3 linked regions of the Oreochromis niloticus genome follow. The protein of the gene in region 1 purifies or fractionates together with the protein of each later gene. This does not show direct contact. Links are inferred from orthologs where the notes say so. Each region holds a gene or a part of one and is shown in the gene's direction. Other genes may lie near its edges. The genes, in order: hdr, ripk1l and cflara.

Region 1 (7,829 bases):
CATCCTCTCATGCAAACTGTGTAAAATGTGGCGGAACACCCATAAATACACTTTCAAAAAAGGCAGCATTGTATACTGTCTGTGACATGCATCATTACAACAACGAAACAGATAAGTAAGTTCAAATGTCTCTAAGTGAATCAGTAAGACTAACAAAACATTCATAAGAGCATTGATTGCTTCTCCTGCTCCTGGCTGTGAGGCAATTGGCCCACTGAATTGTGCAATCCTGCTCTAACTGCTAACATTAGCAATGTGGCCAGCTAGGTTATTGTCATTTATGTCAATAGACAAACCCACTTGTGAGCTCAGCAGATGAATGGGCCCGGTGTCCCAGGCGGCCATCAGCATAGCTTATTATGAGATACTCCCTGTGGAAATATAGCACATCTTAGGTTTGAGGCCATGTTAACCCTGCCTCAAAACCCTAACTCTAAACTTTGTTTTTTAATTTCTTTATTGGAAAAAATGGAAACAGTTTTGATGTATCTCATTTAGAATGATCAATTTCTTTGTCACCTGATTGCCAAGACCGTGAAGCACAGTCTTAAAAAACAAATAAATATTCCGATATCATGGGTTATGATTAGCATCAGGATCATCAGCGATGACTTGGACCTCACAGGGATTCCCTTTTGTGTATGCTTTTTAAAAACGCTATAACTGTATACTAGTTCAAGATTGCAACCTATTTAGCCTATAGTGTCTACCACGAAACATCCGGAGGCTTTTAGATTATTATGAATGTTAACCTCTTAATTTAGGATTTGATTTGGGGTTAGGTTGGATTTTAGTCACATGTTAAACATGGATAGTTTCTGAAACTATCCAATCAAGTCTCTTACTTGCAACACCATGAATATGTTCCAGCAATGGTATCCCTGAAGGTGTTTGTTTGTTTAGATTGAAACAGCATATGTGTATTACCCCACATTAATACAGCACACGTGCATGTGATGCAGTCAATAGAGAGGAACTAGTGTGCTGACAGAATGTTCCAGATGGAGACCTTGAGCCATGCGGGAACAAAGCCATGAATAGACTTCCCCTAGTAACTGGCTGAATCATAGTGCAAACTCAATGAAATACGCTTTTAGGCCATCTACACCCCCGGCTCTGACCAAAGTCCATCTGGAAGTAAGTCTTGCCACCAAGTACAAATTTAGGCAGTCATTTTGACGTATTATCTAAAGTCAAATAAGAACTGCATGTATGGAATTACCAGTCAAATCTAATGAGAACAGTTGCTCATTTAGAGGGTCGCCACAGTGGATCATCTGCCTCCATCACACTCTGTCCCTCTGATACACTCATTTCTAATCTTGTCCATTCTAATCACTTCCAGTGAAAACCTTAAGATGTTCAACTTTTCCACCTCCAGCTTCACCTCCTGTCTTTTTGTCAGTGTAACCATATGCAAACCATACACCATAGCATGTCTCAATGCGATCTACCTTTCTTTCCATTCTTGCTGCTATCCTTCCGTCACAAATCATCCCTGACACTCGTCTCCACCCACTCCACCCTCTTGTGCACTGTCTGTTGCTTTGGACGGTTGACCCCAGGTATTAAAACTCGTCTACCTTCACTATCTTTACTCCTGCTCCTTCACCTGTCTTTCTCTCACTCACACACGTATTCTGTCTTGCTTCTGTTGAATTTCATTAATCTTCGCTCCAGTGCATACCTCCACCTGTCCAGATTCTCTTTCACCTGCTCCCTGCTCTCACTACAGATCACAATGTCAGCTGCATTGTAGTCCACGGAGACTCGTGTCTGATCTCATCTGTCAATCTGTCCATCTCTACTGTGAACAAGAAGGGGCACAGAGTCAGTTCTGATGTAACTTTGATTTCCCCTCAGTGTCTCCCTTTATTAGATAATGTCACTGGTCAACCTTCTGCTGCTGCCCTTCACATCTGACCCAGTCTGGGTACTCTACAATCACACTAGAGTGGATATTGTTAGTGCTCTCGTGAAGCTCATGGCCCTCTGAATCTGGCCACCTTTCCACTGTTGTTCCTATACTCACACTATGGCCATGGCCATTTAGATCTATATGAACACCTTTACCTCCCTTCCATTGTGGCGAAAATAAAGAGCAGTGCTTTCCCATCCTTCCTAACCACCACTTTGGTGCCCCCGAGTTAGACCCTTAACTCTGAGCTGCTCCAGTGGAGCTGCTCAGAGCCGATAGATCTATTGTACTGGACAGCATGTAACTGTGCAAGCATCGACGGGGCATAACTGAGAGGGAAGACTTGCTTTCCTCTGAACTTCCATCGTAGAATAAATTTGTGAACTAAACATCCACACAAGCTCCTAGGGAATAGAAACAAATTAAAGTGCAACATTTTTCAGGAATATATGTATCCATTATCTGTATCCATCATTTGCATAAAAGATCATCCTTTATTCAACCCATTTCTTGTCAGTCTTTAAACCTAATGTTGGAATTTTAACATTTAACAACTTCTAGTTGCACTTCTTTTGCTTATTCACCAGTGTGCAGGTTCACTCTGTCTTTGGATAAGCTTTGTCTAATTCCTCTATGAAAAAGCAAGTTCATGTAGGTCTTCAGTTCACTCTCTCCTCTTGCACTGTGTGTCAGAAAGATCCCCTAACCTCCCTCTCAGTATACACATAGGCTCTGTAACAGAAGAAAAGTATATATATATTTTTCCATATCATTAGAATTGATCTCGACCTCGGCCCAGCCGATGAGCAGAACCCTGTACGGTCTGTCTGAATGCAAAATTCATGTCTTATCTCGGAAAACGTGGCTCAGAGATTCCAGCCACCTCCCGGGCCTTATCATCAAAAAACACAAGTTTGCAGCAGCGTGTGAGGGGAAACGGTGCAGAAATTCAGAAATGGAGCAGACTCTGAATGATTGGGCAAATAAAATAGGTAAAAAAGATGTCGATGAGCTGCAACGCGCAGGAAACTTGTAGAGTGACTGGTCTCTATTTCTCAGTGTGCCTGGCAGCCTGTGAAGCCATCAGTCACCCAATCTCTGAGCCTGGAAACAGGCTGCCTAAAACTGTGAGACCATTTCAGCACCATCTCAGAGCATCGCAATCAACAGACTGAAACGGAGGTTTTATTCCTCTCCACATCCACAGCCCACTGCTTCCTGTCGGCCTGCATATCTGCGCGCTGCAGACAACTGCTCATTAGATAATGCTAAACTGGCACTCCCAAGCATGAGGTTTGCTAAACACTGTGGTGATGGCTGACTTCATGCAGTTTGTGATGAAAGCCTTTGTACAATAGTCTGTTTTCCCCCATTATCCCGTGAGGGGCTAACAGCCGAGAGAGGAACCTCTTGGAACTGTTATTCACTTTGCAATACAGCAGCAATTTGAATGTTTGAATGCTGAGCTCATTCAGAGTGAAAGCGATCATACACAAGGTCAGATCCAACATTTTATGTTTAAAATAGGCAAAAGCTCAGTTTGGTATAGGAGAAGCAAATGTTTAGACTTTCACGCACTCAGATCCTTCAGATAAAAACATTGCATTCCACTGTAGGCCTAAACATATTCTTACATTTTACATTCTACAAACTGTTCATCACCTATACCTTTAATATTACTGTAAAAAAAAAATACATGTTGTTTTCAGGATTCAGGCAGCTCATTTTATCTCATTTCTCTGTAGCTTTGGCACCACGTATGTTGCTACTGTGATAAGCTGTAGCCACAAACTACACCTGTGTTTCCTCATGTGAATCATGTGCAGTATTTGTGAGTTTAGTCATGATTTACTCTGCATGAAACTGTTTTTGTTTGTTTGTTTCCTCACCTCAACTTTAAAACTGTTTTCAGCACAAATGCTCACACCCAGAGATGGAAAGCTATGTTTGCTTAACCCCTGAGCAAAAGCACAGCATTTTTGAAGTTGTACTGATAATAATTTGCCATTGCGTGTTATTTTATACTACTGCATTCAAAGAAAATATTCCCAAAATATATAGTTAACAGAAGCTGAGATTAAAAGCATTCTTTAATAAAATAATTTCACCATATATTAAATTAGTATTCTCAGTAATCAGTCATAAGGCCTCTTACATGAAAGCAGTGTCTGCTTGCAACCACGGTACATTTTAATAATTTCATTTAAATGAATTTATACCTGAAAAAGAAGAAAAAGAAGACCGAGAAAAGAGGAGGGGGCAGGGTTAATAGCCCAAATATGCGAAATTGTAATAACCGTAATAGCTTGAGGAAAAAGTCCAGTGTTAATTCTTGGTTTTTTGTTTTTTTTTGTTTTTCTATCCCGGGGGCTTAATGAGACTGAATTGTGTTTTTTAAATTTAAATAGGCGCCTTATCGGTTTGTGAAGCACTCTGGTCAATATTTGTTCTGAGCCGCCGACGGGGAGACGTTTGTCCGCGGGGCATTTTAACGCCAACCTTTAATCCCAGCCTTACTCTAAACCTAAACAGCCAGCTGCTCTTCCAGAAACTTAGCACTGAGATGGCACAGGTGACGTCAGCTGGGGGTCAGTACAAAATCTTCTATATCATCTACAATGCTCGCTAATAATTATTGATAATTATTGATAACGTTGCAGTTGAAGATGATTTGAATTATACTAATAAAAAAAATACACATTTATTATAATTACTTCTTGTGTGGCCGCTTGGAGTTGCATCAGTGGGGCTGTTTTTTTTCGCCTCCTGTTTGAGAGCTGAAGACGTCTGGGGCTGCTTTGTACTTTGGCCCCGCCTATCAGCTACGTCATTTATTCAGAGTCGGCTCACACCTGAGTTAAACTTTTGAGAGAGTAGCCTACAGGACGCTACGGTGGTAAATCTAAATCGATTTGCTCTGAGTTACAGTGGAATAATTGAAAGTCTGTGGAAGCCGACATTTTTAGTAGAAGATGAAGTACATTCTTATGTTTGTGGTAAGTCCTGTTGTCTTTATAAACATCTACAAAGCTTGCTGTGGTTTCACGGGCCGGTGTTGTACCGGCGTCAGTCAGTCAGCGGGAAGATTCTGTAAACAGCTTCCTTGTGACTCATTTTTAAAAATGGAGAGCCCTCAAAGTAATAAAAGAGTGTTTTTAATGTTTCGCGACAACCGCGGGGGATTCTAATATTTATGTTAAGCTATTAACTTAATGAAAAGTTAATTATGTAAACTTTAAAGTTTTGTTGTTGTTGTTTTGATTTGTTTATTGAGAATCGAAGTGACCAGAATTGTCACGGGTTGTCGAAACAAAGTTTAGCCTCCCGTTGACTGTAAATTAAATAGAAAAGACCTCTGGCAATTTTCCGGTTAACTGGTTTGCGCAAGATGTCGCATTTATGTGTCAAAAGTCTCACCCGGCGCTGTGTGAACAGGTGTGAAATTCCTCGTGGGCTCACCAAAAAGTCACGTCATTTCTGTTTTCTCCACCTGAGACACTGCAGTGAAACTAGTCGATTGTTTGAGGCTTTTTTTTTTTCTAGCTTTTGGCTTGATTTTGAGCTGCCTAAAAGATTTATTTTGATTAAATATCCTCTAATATGTTTATGTGCATAAAGCGATGGAAATGATGGTTTGCATTACGTCAGAGATGACTTCCATCGACTTAAAGTGCTACTTTATAGAGTGGGTCGCCGAGTAGAAGCACGTATTGGAAATATAAACTTTTTTTTGTTTTTTAATTAAACTCTTCTGTATGTCTTTGTGTATAAACAAGGTCGCTTTAGGTTTTTTCTTTCTTTTTTCTTCTTTTCCAAAGTACTGTTAAATATGCTTAAGCACGCCATTTCTACTTTCCAGTGAAGGCAGGGGGATTAAAATTCTTATAACAGGCACTTTCACACACAGGTGAGTGTTTGTCTTTCTCTCCATGCCTGCTGGGAGATGCCCTCACTTGTGATCTCTCAGTAACTAGGGCACCTGATGGTGTTACGAAATCATGGGTGTGATTTCCTTATTTGGTTATTCCTGCAACCTATCAAGGTGTTGGCCATATTAGGACACACTGTTTGTGGATCACGTTTCCCCTGTTGCTCAATATTAAGAAGTTCATAAATCAGCTCGGATACTTTGGTACACTTTCTTAATACTGAATCCAACAGGCTTAGTCCAAGGAGTGTTGGAAGGAAATCCCCCTTCTCCCCCACCCACCTGCGCAGCACTGACTTGTTTATTTGCTTTCAGAGTGAAGTGGCGTGTTCTGAAATGTGGTCTAATCTGACTCACATCATCATACAAGGAAGCTTCCACAGAATAATGACTTATATACTTTTTCTTTATGTTAGCAGTGAAAATGTTTTCAGTTAACCAAAACATATAATCAGAGATTATGTTTCTGTAAAACTCATAAAATGAGTTCTTTAAGAGATTTCAAATTGAGTACATTAAGTTGAAACATGGAAAAAGATGAAAGCTGTGTACTTGATATTTTTAATTAAGAAGGTAGTTTCATGACTATAACAAAGCAGGTTTTTGCTCATAAGTCACCATGTTTTATCCCAGTTTCCCATTCTTGTCAGATCGTAACTAGTTTTGGTACCTTAATGTAACCAAAGATCACCCCACCTGCCTACTTAGGGACTCTTTTAAAAAAACTGTTTATTCACCACTCTGACTTCCATTTATTTTTTATTATTATTTTTAAACCCCGCATCCAAATCCAAAGGTTTTTGTGCCTGTCCTGGTCCTTCTCCTCAAATCCACCACAGCATACCCACAGGCTGGTCTTAAGGTGGGAAGCAGCAGAGCACGGCGGCAGGCCAACTGCCCAGCAAATCAGTACCGAAACGGCAACCTCTGTTGTTTGAATTGTAAAGCTGGTAAGTCTTGTGAAACTGAACTTCTGTAATAATTTCAAACCAGTAAGCCATCAAAAGCCACATGAAACGGCCTTATTATTTAGCTAGAGTCACATGTTCAGTTGAAGGAGATGTATAAAGTGTGTATGTGTGCGTGTGCTCTAGGTACATATGTGAAGTCACCCTGCACTGTAGATGGAGAGAGGGGGCAGTGTGAGGAGTGTGATTACGATACATACATCAAGCATGACAACGAACTAAGGTTCTGCTTGAAGTGCACACGGTGTCGTCCAGGTAATTCTGCTTGGCGGCTTTACACCATCGATCAGAATGAAAAGGTTCACTATTGATTGTTCTTGTAGTCGGCGTGCTCCGAGCATAAACTCTGACTTAAGGTCTCTTTCATGTTACTCTCTCAGATGAGGAAATTGTAAGCTCATGCACTCACACTGAAGATACTAAATGTCAGTGCAAACCAGGGAGATTTTGTGATCCTAACCAAGCATGTGAGGTGTGCTTGAAGTGTTCAAGGTAAGTGTCTGCAAGCCATTCAAAATCAGTAAAGACACAATAAGCATAAGGAGGGAGTGGATGGTGGATATACTGGGTGTTGAATGTGGAGCTGCCAGAGTAAGAGGGTTGGTGTGACAGAAGATGATGCTAGATGCAGATTGTCCACTGTGCTGACTCCTAAAGGGAGCAGCGGGAAGAAGACTGACATTTAGGTCTTTAAACCTTTCAATCCATTTTGCTTCTCTCCTAACTAGGTGTGCAGAGGATGAAGAGAAAGTGAGAAACTGCACATCAACCACAAACACAGAGTGCAAGAAGATCCAGAACAAATCTGGCTCTGATCCAGGTACCCTACTCTGTGGCAGATGCATGCAAGACTTTTGTTACACTGGGATAAATGTATATTTACAAAGTCAGATTTTCCAGGCCAAAAACAAATGATATCAGAGATTCAATCGCACTGTACATTGATTCAAATCATGAATCTCTTTTTTTCTGTAAATGGCCAGTGACTGTCCCTTATGTTTTTTTTGTTTTGGCT
Region 2 (7,418 bases), on another chromosome or scaffold:
GCCTCAAATGGATGTAGTACTCTCTCACTCTGCCTCAGCTTTTCATTGTTCTGTGCCGCGCTGCTGTGCTGCACAATTTGGTACTTACAGGTTTTGTGTGGGAAGGTCAGCTGCTGAAATGCAGAGATAGGTCATCTCCTGGTGGACAGAGTATACTAGTCAAATGTCACGTTCTCCTAAATATTTAACACAGATCAGCTAACAGAATGAAGAATATAATAAATGTCACCATCACACCAACACACTCAGTGATTCACGATGTGTGTTGCTTATGGTGAGGGCAGGCTGTGTAACTAAAGCTGATTAGCCACTATACTAAAAACGCCAGCCTAATTGTTCTGTTGTCCCATTAAATTAGCTCTGAGCTGTCAGGTCATGGACGGGGGACCTCTTTGGTGTCCTGCGGCAACCTCAGGCTATCAGGTTTCTTCCAACTTATCCCGATCTTGGAAGTTTAGAAACCAGGACAAGACCGACCGCGGGCTCTCTGTTGCATTTCTCTCTTTGTAAATGGTTTGTGCTCTCTATCCCTGCTGTTCAGGAGGTACCATTGGCAGGGTGGGGGGTGTCTCTACATGTTAAAGCGTCAAAATTAATAATCCAGAAAAAAATAATAATGAAGAGAGACTGCATAGTCCGAGCTGGTTGAGACAAGAACAACCGCCTACTCTGAAACCCACGCAGGCACACAACTCAGCACACTGATAAACCAACTGCTGTTGACTGGCATTTTACATGATACTCTAAAGAATCACATGAGTAAAAAAAAGTCCCCTGTGTATGTTTTACTCGCACGGAAACGAGAGCTGTTTGCTCAAGGAAAAGAGCCACTGATACACAGTGCTTCCTGAACAACCTGACAGACCGGGTCGACTGTGGAGGGTGTCTGACTGCTCTCAGCCAATCAATCTGCTCCGCTTGTTTGCTTGATGACTCTACTTAAAAATTTATTAGAAATTCAATATGTGTACCTCTATGATTCACCTGGGTGCTGAGACATTATAAGACAAAGAGAGCTTCTCACCTGGAGGATAGGAGCTGCACTGTCATGAATGGACAGGATGTGTGTAATGTTGTTTCTGGCTAACTGTTCTCTGTCCCTTGCATCTGACAGAAACACATAACAGCACAGTCGAACAGCGTTATTATATCTGCACACATATAAGAAGTCAATCAATACTAATAATAATAACAATAACAATAATAATAATAATAATAAAGAGAAAATGAGACACACCTTTGAAATTTCCCAGGTATAAATCAGGAAGGACCTATAAGGAAAAAGAATACTGATTGCTATATCAAAAGTAATCATTGATACTGAGGTGGTGCAAACTGATTAAAGACCAATCAGCTATAAAGATAAATGAAACCCTGGCAATATGAAGGTATAATTACAAACGGTGTCCTTTGACGATCTGAATAGATACATATTCAGCCACTAAATGATAATAACTAAAAAAATAATAATAACTATGCCAAAATAATTCAAGTTTGATCACTGAACTAGGCAATGATTAAGTATTCTAACAGCTATACTACATTTCCTAATACTGCAAAGTTAACGAGCAACCAAACTTTTTATTCTATGAAATATCCTAAAATGATAAACACATTTCCTTAAAACACTGAGGACCACTCACACAACAACTCCAACCTGAGGAGCACGGAAGAGAGGATAATCGTACCTTATTGATGCCATTACCCATGCTGAAAGACCCGCCTCACTGGAGAAGAGTTGAAAGAAATGCCCCACGCCGCAGCCTCGGTGCTGGAAAACGCGTATCCGGCGTCTCGATGCCTTCCCAAACCGGCTGAAGGGGAGCAAACGCAGTTGGTCTGCGTGCGAGCGAGCCGAGCACTGCTGCCCGAGGTTCCCGAGGTGGATGCTGGGAGCTGTAGTTTCCTAACGCAAAGGGCGTTGCAGACCTGTAGTAGATGTGTGTGGAGGAGTTAAACAGCCCCACATAAAAAATATAATTAAAGAGATCAACGAAAGGCTCAGTAATTTAATCAATATCGATCATGTTGCATGAAAAAAATGACATTAAAAAGTAATTTGGTTTTGTCTCTCTTGTTAATAATAAAGGCAGTCACAAAATGTATACATATATATATATATATATATATATATATATATATATACACACACAACAATAACAACACAGCCTTTTTGATGCTTTGCAGCCAGGACAAACAGGAAACAAGGCTATGAGTCAAGTACAGAATGGATCTTCTCACCTTCAACCAAAACCTCACAAAATACCTGACTTTATTTCCTTTGATGTCATAATAATAACACAGTGCAATAACACTGAAGATAGCTGTTTCTAAAAAAGCAAAACACAAAGTATTCACAGGTTTGTTTGTTCTGTTCCATACAGACGACCCAGTCTGGATGCCATCACCACCACCAGCAAAATGATGGCACCTGTGGAAAGGCTTTTCAAGCAGGAGAAAACAGGAAACAGATCTGCAAGCTGAATGTGTCTTATCACCCTCAACCAAGAGAACCTTGACTTTATTCCTTTTATCTAACAGGTTGAAATAACTAAAATAGATTGAAAACACAGCAAAAACCACTGTTTGCAACAAAGTGAGTTATAAAATATTTACTGATTTATTTATGTACTGTTTCCCCTCCTACAGACCAGCCAGTGTGGATGCCCTCTCCACCAACAACACAACTTTTATTGTGACACCTCTGGAAAGGCTCTTTCCAGAGGCTTATCCAAATGATTTTCCAAACAACATATGAAGGCACGTTTTGTTAGAAAAAACAACAACTTTAATCTATGCTGCAGACATAATCAACTAGATGCATTCTGGCAGTTAACCAGTCTGAACAGAAATAGAGTGTGACTGCTAAAGGAGGCACTGAGAAACCAACGACAAGTACGGGACTCTACAGTGCTGCTATTACAGAGAAATGATGGCATATGTCAGATCTCTACTGATAATTACTGTGATAAAGACATCAACAGGAAGTGCTGCTACCCACTGCCCAACATTGACAGCACATTTACACCGCAGACACCAGTTCACTTAACTTCCTGGTAATGCGTTGTTTTGCTATGTGGGGCAGCTTGTGACCGCCAGCCTCTACTCTACAGCTTGAATGGGAGGAAAGCATCTGCGACAGAGATGTGATGCACTTACTACACAGAGTAATGCAAGCTGGTTATCAGTCCACCCATCCGGTTTATGCATGAGGGTATGTATACTTTTCCCCTAGTTTTATTGCTTTTAAGAGCTCTGCACACTGGTGAATGTACTCTAATAGTAATCAATCAATCTAAAATGTTACTTGGATTCACAAGAAAACTGGGCAAGAGACAACATTAGATATTTGTATCACTTCTTGTAGTTTTGCCATAAAGTAACTTGAGTTTATACAGATAGTCAACACACTAATGGACCTAGACCCATTTGTAAACTGCCAAAACTGAATGAGGACGCTGCCCCGATACTGTGCCACTAAACAAGGTCATCTATGTGAATCTCCAAGCAGTCATAAGTAGGTGGAATTTAAGCTTGAATTCAGTAATTTCACTCACCAGTTTGGTTTTTGTCTTTTAATTGTTGGTAAGAGCACTCCATTTCTCATCAACTGCTATATAACCTGAAGGTTACCACCAATAAATGTAATTAACAGAAAAAAAGTAGAAGAAAAAAACTTGCAAGCCAATAAAATGGAGACAATATGAGCCAGGTAAATATGATACTGCTTTGATGTGGCTTTGGTGTGCAAAAGGAGGAATTTATAGTGTGGGCGTTCACAGATAGGCTGCCCAAAATGTAGGCCTACTTGTAGTACATCGCCCACATTGTCAGTGGCTACAATTCAGGTGGTTTCCCGCTCTAGTTTCGCATAAATGTTCAATTTATCAATGAACTTGGGTTTTTTTTCAGTCAGTGCGTCATTTTAATTACTCCATCATATTAACTTGTTTTTTGGATTTTTTTGTTATTACTTTAAAAAACAGAAGCAAACAAACAAAAGAAAACGTCAAAGTCCTCATCTTAACTTAGCTTAGCTTACATCTTAATTTTTTAATTCGATGAGAACGTTTTTTCCCCTCTTATGACAGCTGCCGTTTAGATCCAGCTAGAACGATTCAACTGTGTCACCATCATGAAATATGAACAGGCCTCCCCTGCTAACAGTTTCACCACTAGGTGGCGCCAACGTCATACTCAATGATTTACAGCCATTGGCAGAAATTGCAGAATGTTGCTCAAAAAACAAAACAAAAAAACAATGTGAACACAACAGATAAGACAAGTAAACGCACAAAGATTTATAAGTTTTTTATCCCGTATTTCTGCTTTGTGTTAAAGGCATCTCCGACAGTACATACCTGAATCTACTAGCAGCCCTGGATTGTTTCTGTCATCGATTTATAAGCCTGTTTGTAGTTTTTTTTTTTTTTATCTTGCGCGTTTCACTTTTGAAGTAGGTCGTCGAGGAAATCCCGGAAATAGAAATAAACTGCTTTACTTGGACTTTTCCAGCACATTTTCGGTAACTGTTTTGTTTGATACTGGAAGTGAATGGGGGTGTTCCCCCTACACTTTTGTTTCCCGAGTAATTAATTTAGTTATGGAAGTGAAGTCAGTTAAAGATGCCGACACTTTGGGATAGCCTGTGCTGTTAGCTGACCTCTGTGACAGTGTTGTGATTGTTACGGATGGTTGATTAGCCGATTCAGTCATTAACCTGTGTCCTGTGCGCTTTGTTACGGCTTTGTTTGAGCTGTAGGTTTTTTGGTTTTTCCGATGTGACACTGTGAATTCTTCCCAGGGATGGCCACCGCGCCTGAGTACTCACTTCACATGAGGTCGACGGATCTCATTATAAAAGAACCCCTGGATTACGGAGGTTTTGGAGAAGTTTACTTATGTTATCATGTGACGCTGGGACAGGTGGTGTTAAAGACTATGTACACTGGACGTCTGCGCAACGAGTAAGTTGTTGTTGTTGTAGTTGTTGTAATGTGTTACTGCATGTGCTACCCAAGGGTATTCCCCTTCGTCCAATGATAACTTGAATCATGTGTCCCGCGAAGTTTTCCACGCAACCAAGCGAGACACTTTTAGAGCGTGCAGAAAGTATAATAACACAAATGAATACACACGGATGTAAATGAATGTACTCGTTATTACGGTTGTCTATACCAAGGTAGTGTGCTGTGAAAAGGGACACTACCTTGGTATTAAGTCCAACCACTTCCTTTTTGCACAAGGAAATAGAGACAGGTTGATTCAGCTCAATGCCGATGAAGTCCAGCATCCGTTTTTTATATCCGCATATATGAATTAATTATTCTATTAATTATTGACTATTTAGTTGTTTAAAAGTTGTGAAGAATATCTGTTCACTTTTTATTTTTTGAGACAACATTTCAAATGTAGTGCGTTGTCCCCTTAACAGTCTGAATATAAATAAATGCAAAATGTATTTATAATTGTATTTATGTATTTATAAATACAAAATATTAACAGTGATTATAAAAAAATGTTGCTGATACTTTTACTTTGTTTGACCTCTCAGCTTATTGTTTGTATCTCAGATGCACTGTGAGGCACATGCCAATCCAAAGTCTTGCCTCAGTACTTTCAATCAGCTCCACCAAATACCCAATTTTTTTTTTTTACACATTTTTTAAAAATGTTGTCTTTATCTTAATCCTTATCAGTATAAAATGATATATTGATTTTTGTAGCACTAGAAACAGAATCACTGCTCTGGCTTGTCTGTATGATTATAAATGGTAACAGAAAGACAGAATTAAAGACTATATTTCTTACTTATCTGTTACTGCACGCCCACACATGCATAAATATCAGAATTGGGTTATTGAAGTCGGTAAGAATATGCTCACATTGTCCCTTTTACTATGCAAAAGCTTTCTCTTATTACATTTAACAAACTTTCCAGGGAGAGTAAAAAATCACTACTGGAGGAGGGAAAGATCATGGCGAGCCTGAACCACGAGCGAGTGGTCAAGTTGCTGGGTGTGATTATGGAGGATCGAGATTGCTCTCTTGTCATGGAACTCATCCCCAGAGGCAACCTACTGGACATGCTGGAGACCGTTAGTAGGCTTAAATCAATAAATACCTGTAATAAACACAGCTTTTGTGGTTTTCATCTATAGCGTGTAACCTTAAAGAGTTCCACTTTTGTCAGTTTATCATGAACTGAAGCATTATTACACTATAATCTCTCTGTTCTTCAGGTCAGTGTGCCAGTATCTATCAAGGGAAGAATCATCTTAGAGATTTTGGAGGGAATGATGTACCTCACAGAAAAGAATGTCATACACAAGGACATCAAGCCGGAAAACATCTTAGTGGACAAGGATTTTCACATCAAGGTACATTACACTCTCTGGGTCATGACACATGTAGGATTCTGTCTGCTGGCATTCACAGTCATGGTGAAGGATTTCTTGTAGATTGCAGATCTTGGTCTGGCCACCTGCCAAACGTGGAGTAAACTCACCAAGGAGGAATCTCGAAGGAAGAGCCGTATGAGGCAATCGACTGGTGTGAGAGGAGCTGGCACACTGAGCTACATGGCCCCGGAGCACCTGGAGAGTATTCATAATCCCTCCACTGAGAAGTCTGACGTGTACAGTTTTGCCATCGTGGTGTGGGTCATTCTCACAGGGGAAGAGCCATATGCAAGTGAGCTGTGATGTCATGACATGCCAAAGTTTGCCAAAGATTACCAGATGCAGCATATCCTCTTACAGCATGTCATTGCAGCCATTTAAAAAAAGCATCTTTTTATGCCCAGATGCCAGGAGTGAAGACCAAATCAGCCAGTGTGTTCGTAACGGTGACCGACCGGCAGAGGATCTTATTCCAGAGGACACGCCTTCTGAAATAATTCAGCTCATGAAAAGATGCTGGGATCACAATCCTCAGGAACGACCGACTTTTAAAGGTTTCCTTTTTGTGTATTTTAAGCAAAATAGCACTCATTGATGGAACCACGTACACTCATCAGCCATTTCATTAGGTACATTTCCCAGAAATTTTGGTCCATATCAACACGATAGGATCACACAGTTGCTGCAGATCTGTCAGCAGCACATCCAAGATGCAAATCTCCTGTTCCACCACATCCAACAAATGCTCTGTCTGACAGATCTGGCAGTTTGAGTGCAGTGAACTCTGTCTGTGGTCTTATGCTGCTCTAACACATCTGCCACAAGACTCGACTTGTTGCGCATTCAGATGAGATGCTCTTCTGTAATGAGTGGTTATGTGAATTACTCTTGCTGTTGAGTAATTGTTGCCTTCCTGTCAGCTCAAAGCAGTCTGCCCATTGTCCTCTGAGGTCTAGTATCAATAGTATACAATACAATAACAATATTTTCTCTTTTTTAGATCATGTTCTTATGTAA
Region 3 (7,223 bases), on another chromosome or scaffold:
GCAGCTCTTCTCTGCTGGAAGGAAAGGAAGGGCAGGGGGCTGCCTGCCTGTGTGATCCTCTGGCGCTGTGGGTGAGTACAATGGAAAATAGTCCCCATTGCTAATCCATGGCAGGCTAATTACAGCTTTGATCCCCTAAGCGTGTGCATCACTGTTGGTGGGTGGGAAGGAGGCAACACACTACTGGGCTCAATACCGGTATGGCAAAACTTGTTTTGGCTCAAAGATGTCTCAGTTTACTCGCATTCGGTGCAGAGGTGGAACCATTGTGCTGTCAAATCTCACATACACTATATTAATACAAAGGTCATAACAGTCCTTAAACCATCAGCCAATAGTTTTATGAGCACACAATCCTTCATCGAGCAAATCCACCAGCTTCACAATATGATCCAAAGTCACCGACAAGGTTACCATTTACTTCACTGAGCAGCACATGAAACCCAACTCCTGGAGAAATGAGACACAGATTAAGTGGGTAACTGGAGTTTCTGTCTAAAATAGGCCGCAGCTCTGATGATAGCCTAGTCCCAAAACACATGGTGGTGGAAATACAGCAAGGGAGGAGGAGGAGAGAGGAGGATGAAGGCTGAGGATGAGCAGCAGATGGCTTGGAATTATCTAGATCTTGAGCTCCACACCTTTGCTCATTATGCCATTAGTGTAATGGTGGCTTATCAGCCTAGACCAATATCACTCCAAGCAGTATCCTTTTAATTTATTGTTTGCTGTGTTGAGCCACAGCAAAATGTCAGTATGGAAGAAGGAATGTAAAAAGAAAGATGCAAACAGGCTTAGCTTGATGATCACTTTGAAAAACCTCCACCACCTCCAATTCATAACCTGTGGTGTTTTAAAGCAGGTTTTATGGGTTTTCAAGTGGATTGCATTAGTTATCCCACTATCAATCAGGACCCCCCCCCCCCACACACACACACCTCAATGATAGTCATTTAATGTGTATTAATAAAGCATATTTAAATGTTATTATTTAATGTAAGTGCAGTTACACTAATACTGCTTGGTTGACACGCAATCCCAAGGCACTTGGCTCAAAGCAAACAAATAGACCTCAGCACCCAATTTAGAAACTACTTATCTGGAGTGATACAAAGCTCGGTCCAAGTACAGTTTATTAAGTATTATTTTTGTTTGTTTGTTTTTCCTTTTCTTTTTTTTTAATCCAGCCTTACTTTAGTTTCAGTAATTGTTCCTCATGATCAGCTTATCAGTCATCTATTAAGCAGCTTGAACAGCCCTAACCTCCACGAATGATGGTATATCAATAAAGTTTGATTAACTTATTGACTGATTAATTGATCGAGCAGCAGAGGCATGCATTAGGTGAATTAGCACAGCATTGTTTAAGTTATTTGTTCATACCTAAGCCATTCCAGCATAAAACTATAGGAATGCATCTATGACGGGACCTGAAATCACCTTGAAGCTGCTGCAAGTTTAAAGTTATTATGGTATAAGGGCTTAAAACACACACACACAAACAGACTGGCCATTCTAGTGTGTTTCTACACATGGGTTATTTACTCTGAAGCAATGAATCCGACTAAAAAAAAGTTATAAATGCAGTCGAGAGTTTTAAACCTGGGACTTCCGCTTGTTTTTTTGTTTTTTACATCAATTTCAAAATAAAACCGTTTGTTAAAAATGTGCTGCAACGTATTGTCAAATTCAGCTACGTGTTTGTATAAATTGCGGTGGATACATGTAGTTGGTGGTGTAATGTCACAACACAATCACTGTTTAACCTTAAACACTGAAGACATCGTGCAGTCCTAACGGTCACGCAGCTATGTTAGCCAGGTAGTTAACTGCTAGCAAACGGTTGCTCCGACACTGCCACGAAGCCTGAACCTGTACGCCAACGTTAGCTACCTTAGCTCGGCTCGAATGCCGTTAGCACGCCTGTTACAGTCAGCAGCTGTTGGACATCCTCGTTTTTCCATCAGTCGTGACCAGGCCGGGGCGGCTGACTGCTGCCAGCCTGGCTCCAGCCCAGAGCAATCTGCTGTGTGGTCCTTTTCCTAAAAGACACCCCGCAGACGTTGAAGCCTCCTTGCCGCGGGTTTACATCCACATCAACACAACAACTGTGCTGTGATGTTCCAACTCAGCAGCAGCAGCAGCAGCAGCAGCAGCCCCGGTCTGCGACTACCTGGAAAATCCTTCCTCTTGTAATAGTAAATTAAATACTCACTCAGACTGAAGCTGGTTATAGTGATGCTACACAGTGGCTGTTTTGGGGAACCGGGAACGGTGTTTGGTCAGAGCGGTCACCCGGGTCGTGTATCTTCCCTTCTTCAAATGGTCCCTCTCTCCGCCAGCAGTACCTCCGTATGATCTCTCCACACTGCAATGATGGTGCTGAGGCACAGCGAGACACGATTGGCCAGGCTGAGCGGAACTCAGTGAGCTTTGATAAATCTCCGGCGGCCTGCAGGGGGAGTAGCAGTGGTGCGTTCAAGTCCATTGGAAAAGTTGCAATGGTTTAACACGCTCATATTGCCACAAATAGCTGTTAAAATAATTTTAAAAATATGTATGATTATCCCTCCACAGTCTGAAACCCATTATAAGCCACTGAATCTGTTTAAGAAAGAAAAGATAAAAAGATTAAGATAAGACTTTATTATCCCGTTGTTACAGCAGTTAAAACTTAAACCCAACAAACATATGAGATGTGATATCTTAAATAGCTGAATGGTATGCAGCTCAGTAAAACAATACAGCATGACAAAGCATATATCTAGAGAAGGTAAGACTATTGTGAAATCAGAACAAAAACAGCTTGATAAATGTAATAAAACCAGCATAGCAAATACATAACTTAAACAAATATTCAGAGCTTTGCTGTTTAATTTTTAATAAAGAATCATTTAGATTACATTAAATTAAGTTTAAATTGTTACAATTTAAACATAATTGTACCAGATGATGTATGAATAATAAAGGGACTTATTACAGCAGATTTGCCTCTGACATAGATTTGCTTCTGTGCAACAGGGCAAGCATGACTGTTTTGTTCCACAGTATGACCGAAGAGGAGAGGGTCCACCTACCCCTTGCTGCAACACTCAGTGGGTGAAAGGTGTTGGACAGGAAGCTGTTTCTAAAGACTTTATTTTCACAGAGTTTAGTGAGGCTTCTGGTTGAACCTCGAGAGATCTTACAGGCAGAGAAGCAGGATTATCATCTTTAGTGGTTCAGCGTTTAACGTGAGGCTCAAATCTCTCAGCACACGACTATCCCAGCATGACACAGCATGATAAACACAAAATCCAAAGAATGAACTAATGTCACTTTGTTGTGTAAAATGCAGTCATAGGTGTTCAAACTACAAAGCCCCGCTCTTTTTAAAAGAAAATATACTGTAGCTGGTTTTATACATGATGGGCAAAAAGATTCTTTGCTGAGGGAAAAAGTCAGGTTATTGCAAATTATGATCCACTTAAGTGATACATTTATCTTTTTTCCAACTTGTATGAGAAAATTATTTTCTCTCTGGTAAAAACAAACAAACAAACAAACAAACAATAAAACAAAAATAAAAAGAATCTATTGCATTGACAAATTCATTTATATAGCACATTTAATTCTATGTAAAAATCAAAATGCTTAACATAGAAGCAAAAAACACTTTACAGAGAGTTAAACACAGTTACATTTTACACATTTTACACAGTTAAATTTAGGCCTGTGAGAAAAAACAAGGTTTTGAGTCTGTTTTTGGATTAGACAGAGATGTAACTGACCTCAGCACCACAGTTATGCCTGATTTAGACTTCCGCAGGAAATCTGCATCATAACTTACAACGTAACCTCGAAATTTCCTTTAACCCTTCGCAGCAACCTTCTAATTAACATGAGGTGCACCTCCCAAGACATGTAACCCTACGTTGGGGTCGATGCAGCCGACAACGATTGAGTGGCGTGTGGAAGGTTGCAGCTGACAATTGTCATAAGTTAGACTGTAAACTTTTCGCAGAAGTCAACCTTAACTGAAAACACCCTCACCGCATTTAGATCTAATTTTGTAACTGATGACCTGGGTTCTTTATGAACCATATTAGTGTCTTGATTATTCCATATTTTTCAGTGCTTTTTAAAAAAATCTGCAGACAGTATATTTTCTTGGAAGGTCCTGGAGGTGAGGCTCTTCACCGCTCGTGCTTGTGCCATGACTTCATTTGTGGGTGTGGTCTATCGGCTGCCATTTTTCTTTGCTTTCCCTTTCGGTTGTGCCATTGCGCAGTTTTTGTAAAAGGACAGAACTTATATGGTATTCATCCGGTTAAGTTTTCTTTGTTAAGCGGATCCTCGCTGGTTTCATTTTACGTTGGGAAGTATTTGGTAAATCCCCTCCCTCGGGTTTTTAAGTGGTGCGTCACTTCTATAGTTTCCCTTCTTCTGCTTTGCTACGTGTTTGTTGCAGGACTCTTTTCGGTAAGTTCTCTCTATAATTTCGTCTATTAGTGATGGGTTATTATATTTTCACGACTTTTTGTGGATCTTAACATGGCGATTATTGTGACCCACAGGCTTTGACTACAATTCTTTATTCTGGACTCATCACCTCTTAAAGTTTTACCAAATTCCACATGGCTGTTCCGGAACAATTTCAGCTACATGCTATAAATGAAATCGCGGAAGCTCTCAGCAGCAATGAACGCAGTAGGCTCTTCTATCTATGTGAAAGCTTGGACACGGACCACAGTGTGGCTTGTATGAAGGAGATGCTCAGATCAAAAGTGACGCACCATCAAAACGCTCACCTGTTTCTGGCACAGCTCATGTTTTGTTTGGGGCGTTTGGATATCCTAAGGAAGGTGTGTAAAGTCAGCAGGGATGACTTGGAGAGGACCAGACAAATGGTCCCAAGTTTCAGGTAAGACATCCTTTAAGATGAGCTGATTAATCCTAAAGATTTGAAGAATTGAAGTTAACAGTGTTTGTTCCACTTAATGCAGAGTATTGATGGCAGAATTAAGTGAGGAGCTGGACACCGGAGATTTGGACAGTATTAAATTCCTGTTAACTTGCAAATTATCTCGTGAAAAGCTTGAGAAGACAAAGGTAAGAAAACACACAAAAAACCCCAGAATGAATGAGGCATGATTTTGTTTTCACTCATTCTGAAATGTATGTGGGTGGGGATTTATTATTACCGTAACAAACCATGCTGCAGTCAATGATGGGACCCCCCCCCTTTGTGTTACAGAGTTTCCTGGATATTATTGTTGAACTTGAAAAGCTGGATTCAGTCTCACCAGAAAGACTTGACGTCGTAGAGGAGTGCTTGAGAAACATTGGCAGGATTGATCTAGTCAAAAAACTGACCACTTACAAGAATTCAGGTTAGACTGTGTTTCTGTGTTTCCCTTTTCCCTTTATATACTGAAGGGCTTAAAATAGTATCTCCATGAGAAAGGTTTGTAACAGTTTTGCAGTGAGAAGTGGGAAACACTTCCCTACTAGTTACACAGAACTGGTTTAAGTTTTATGTTCCTCGTCAGTATAGCATACCCGAAACTATTGATACTCACAATCACTCACAATTAATGCAAATATCTATCTCAGTATTTCAGAAACTGCTGATCTACTTGGATTTTCCCACGTCACCATCTCTAGGGTTTACAGAAAATGGTACAAAAACAAGAACTTATCCAGTGGGCGAAAATGCCATGTTGATGTCAGAGGTCAGAGGATAAGGGTCAGACTGCTTCAAGCTGATAGGAAGGCAACAGTAACCCAAATAACTACTCGTTACAACCAAGGTACCCAGATGAGCATCTCTGAATGCGCAACACGTTGAAGCTTGAAGGAGATGGGCAACAGCAGCAGACCACACCAGGTGATTTCCATGGGTTCACCAAAACTGGACGTCAGACGATCAGAAAAATGTGGTTGGGTCTGCCGAGTTTCACTTTCTGATGGTTCAGATGGTAGGGTCAGAATTTGGCTTAAACAACGAAAAAAGCATAGATTTGGATCCATTCTGCTTTGCGTTAATGATTCACACTGTTGTTGTTGGTGGTGTAATGGTGTGGGAGATATTTTATTGCCCCCCTTAGTATTGTTTAGCACTACAGTCTACCTGAGTATTGTTGCTGATCATGTCCATCCCTTTATGATCTCAGTGTGCCCATCTTCTGATGGCTGCTTCCAACAGGATAACGCGCCACATGACAAAGCTCGCATCGTCTCATCCTGGTTTCTTGAAACATGACGATGAGTTCACTGCAAATGGCCCCCACAGTCACCAGATCGCAATCTGATAGAGCACCTCTGGGATGTGGTGGAACGGGAGATTTTCCACATTGATGTTTAGCAGCAAATGCGTGACGCTATCAAGCTGACATGGACCAAAATCTCTGAGGAATGTTTCCAGCACCTTGTTGAATTTATGCCGTTGAGAAGAATGGAGGCAGTTCTGAAGGCAAAAAGGCATTCTACCCAGTATTAGCAAGATGTACCTAATAATGTGGCTGGTGAGTGTAGTAAGCAAAGAATTGGAAGTTTATTACATTTTCCTTACCAAAAACTCAGTATTAAAGGTAAACACATTTTTCAGTTTGTGACAACCTGTCCTGAATTTAGCCTACCTTTGGCCCTTGTTCACCTGGGACTGGCACCTGAGACCCTAAACTGGATAAACAGCTAAGAAAATGAATGGATGGATGGACTTTTTTTGTGGCTGTGCTCTGTCATGATGTTCAGCAACTTTGAAGCAAAAGTTAAAAGATTATGATCATAAAAAAATGACATCAAAATGCATTTCAGTTTTATTTAACCCCTGCAACCATGAGCCCGCCTTGCTTATTTAGTCCACTATAAAGTGAAGTTCAGGGTAATCGTACTTAAGACATCACATGGATTCATTGAGACCTTTCCCTTTAGGGTAGATACAATTTTCAGTACTAATTTAATGCTGTTTATTTAATGTGTTGGTATGTTTCAAATGTAATAGGATATTTTTTCTTTAAACAAGGACAACAATAGAACAGCAAACACAGAGACATTATGTATGTATATTTGCCTGTCTTTTACAGCTAGGGCACCTGAACAGCAGCGAAATTTGTCTCTGCAGCAACCCCGTAGAATTTCTGTGAGTGAGACACTTTACAGATGTTAGTTCACATTTCCCATAATGTTTTCTCCACTAAAGCCATAAAAATATCTCCTCTTTCTTTTCCTCTACAGCATGT

What was found.
Region 2: the proteins of hdr (region 1) and ripk1l purify together in Homo sapiens (affinity purification with western blotting, with the first as the bait; 3 studies listed by BioGRID). This does not show direct contact. The link is inferred for Oreochromis niloticus from reciprocal best matches to the Homo sapiens genes TNFRSF10B and RIPK1.
Region 3: the proteins of hdr (region 1) and cflara purify together in Homo sapiens (affinity purification with western blotting, with the first as the bait; 5 studies listed by BioGRID). This does not show direct contact. The link is inferred for Oreochromis niloticus from reciprocal best matches to the Homo sapiens genes TNFRSF10B and CFLAR.

Annotation. Positions count from the first base shown.
Region 1 is NC_031977.2:5,218,715-5,226,543, forward strand, and holds the start of hdr (tumor necrosis factor receptor superfamily member 10B), read left to right. Parts: upstream 1-4,745; 5' UTR 4,746-4,890; coding exon 4,891-4,914; intron 4,915-6,642; coding exon 6,643-6,796; intron 6,797-6,940; coding exon 6,941-7,069; intron 7,070-7,194; coding exon 7,195-7,306; intron 7,307-7,542; coding exon 7,543-7,634; intron 7,635-7,829. UniProt on the Homo sapiens protein: Receptor for the cytotoxic ligand TNFSF10/TRAIL. The adapter molecule FADD recruits caspase-8 to the activated receptor.
Region 2 is NC_031982.2:17,766,209-17,773,626, reverse strand, and holds the start of ripk1l (receptor-interacting serine/threonine-protein kinase 1), read left to right. Parts: upstream 1-4,367; 5' UTR 4,368-4,525; intron 4,526-4,804; 5' UTR 4,805-4,806; coding exon 4,807-4,967; intron 4,968-5,941; coding exon 5,942-6,098; intron 6,099-6,242; coding exon 6,243-6,380; intron 6,381-6,461; coding exon 6,462-6,693; intron 6,694-6,805; coding exon 6,806-6,955; intron 6,956-7,418. Other genes in the region: dusp22b (dual specificity protein phosphatase 22-B), read right to left, coding at 89-138, 1,025-1,107, 1,238-1,271, 1,689-1,709. UniProt on the Homo sapiens protein: Serine-threonine kinase which is a key regulator of TNF-mediated apoptosis, necroptosis and inflammatory pathways.
Region 3 is NC_031987.2:13,980,046-13,987,268, reverse strand, and holds the start of cflara (CASP8 and FADD-like apoptosis regulator a), read left to right. Parts: upstream 1-4,221; 5' UTR 4,222-4,461; intron 4,462-4,556; 5' UTR 4,557-4,616; coding exon 4,617-4,903; intron 4,904-4,985; coding exon 4,986-5,091; intron 5,092-5,236; coding exon 5,237-5,372; intron 5,373-7,067; coding exon 7,068-7,123; intron 7,124-7,218; coding exon 7,219-7,223. UniProt on the Homo sapiens protein: Apoptosis regulator protein which may function as a crucial link between cell survival and cell death pathways in mammalian cells. Acts as an inhibitor of TNFRSF6 mediated apoptosis.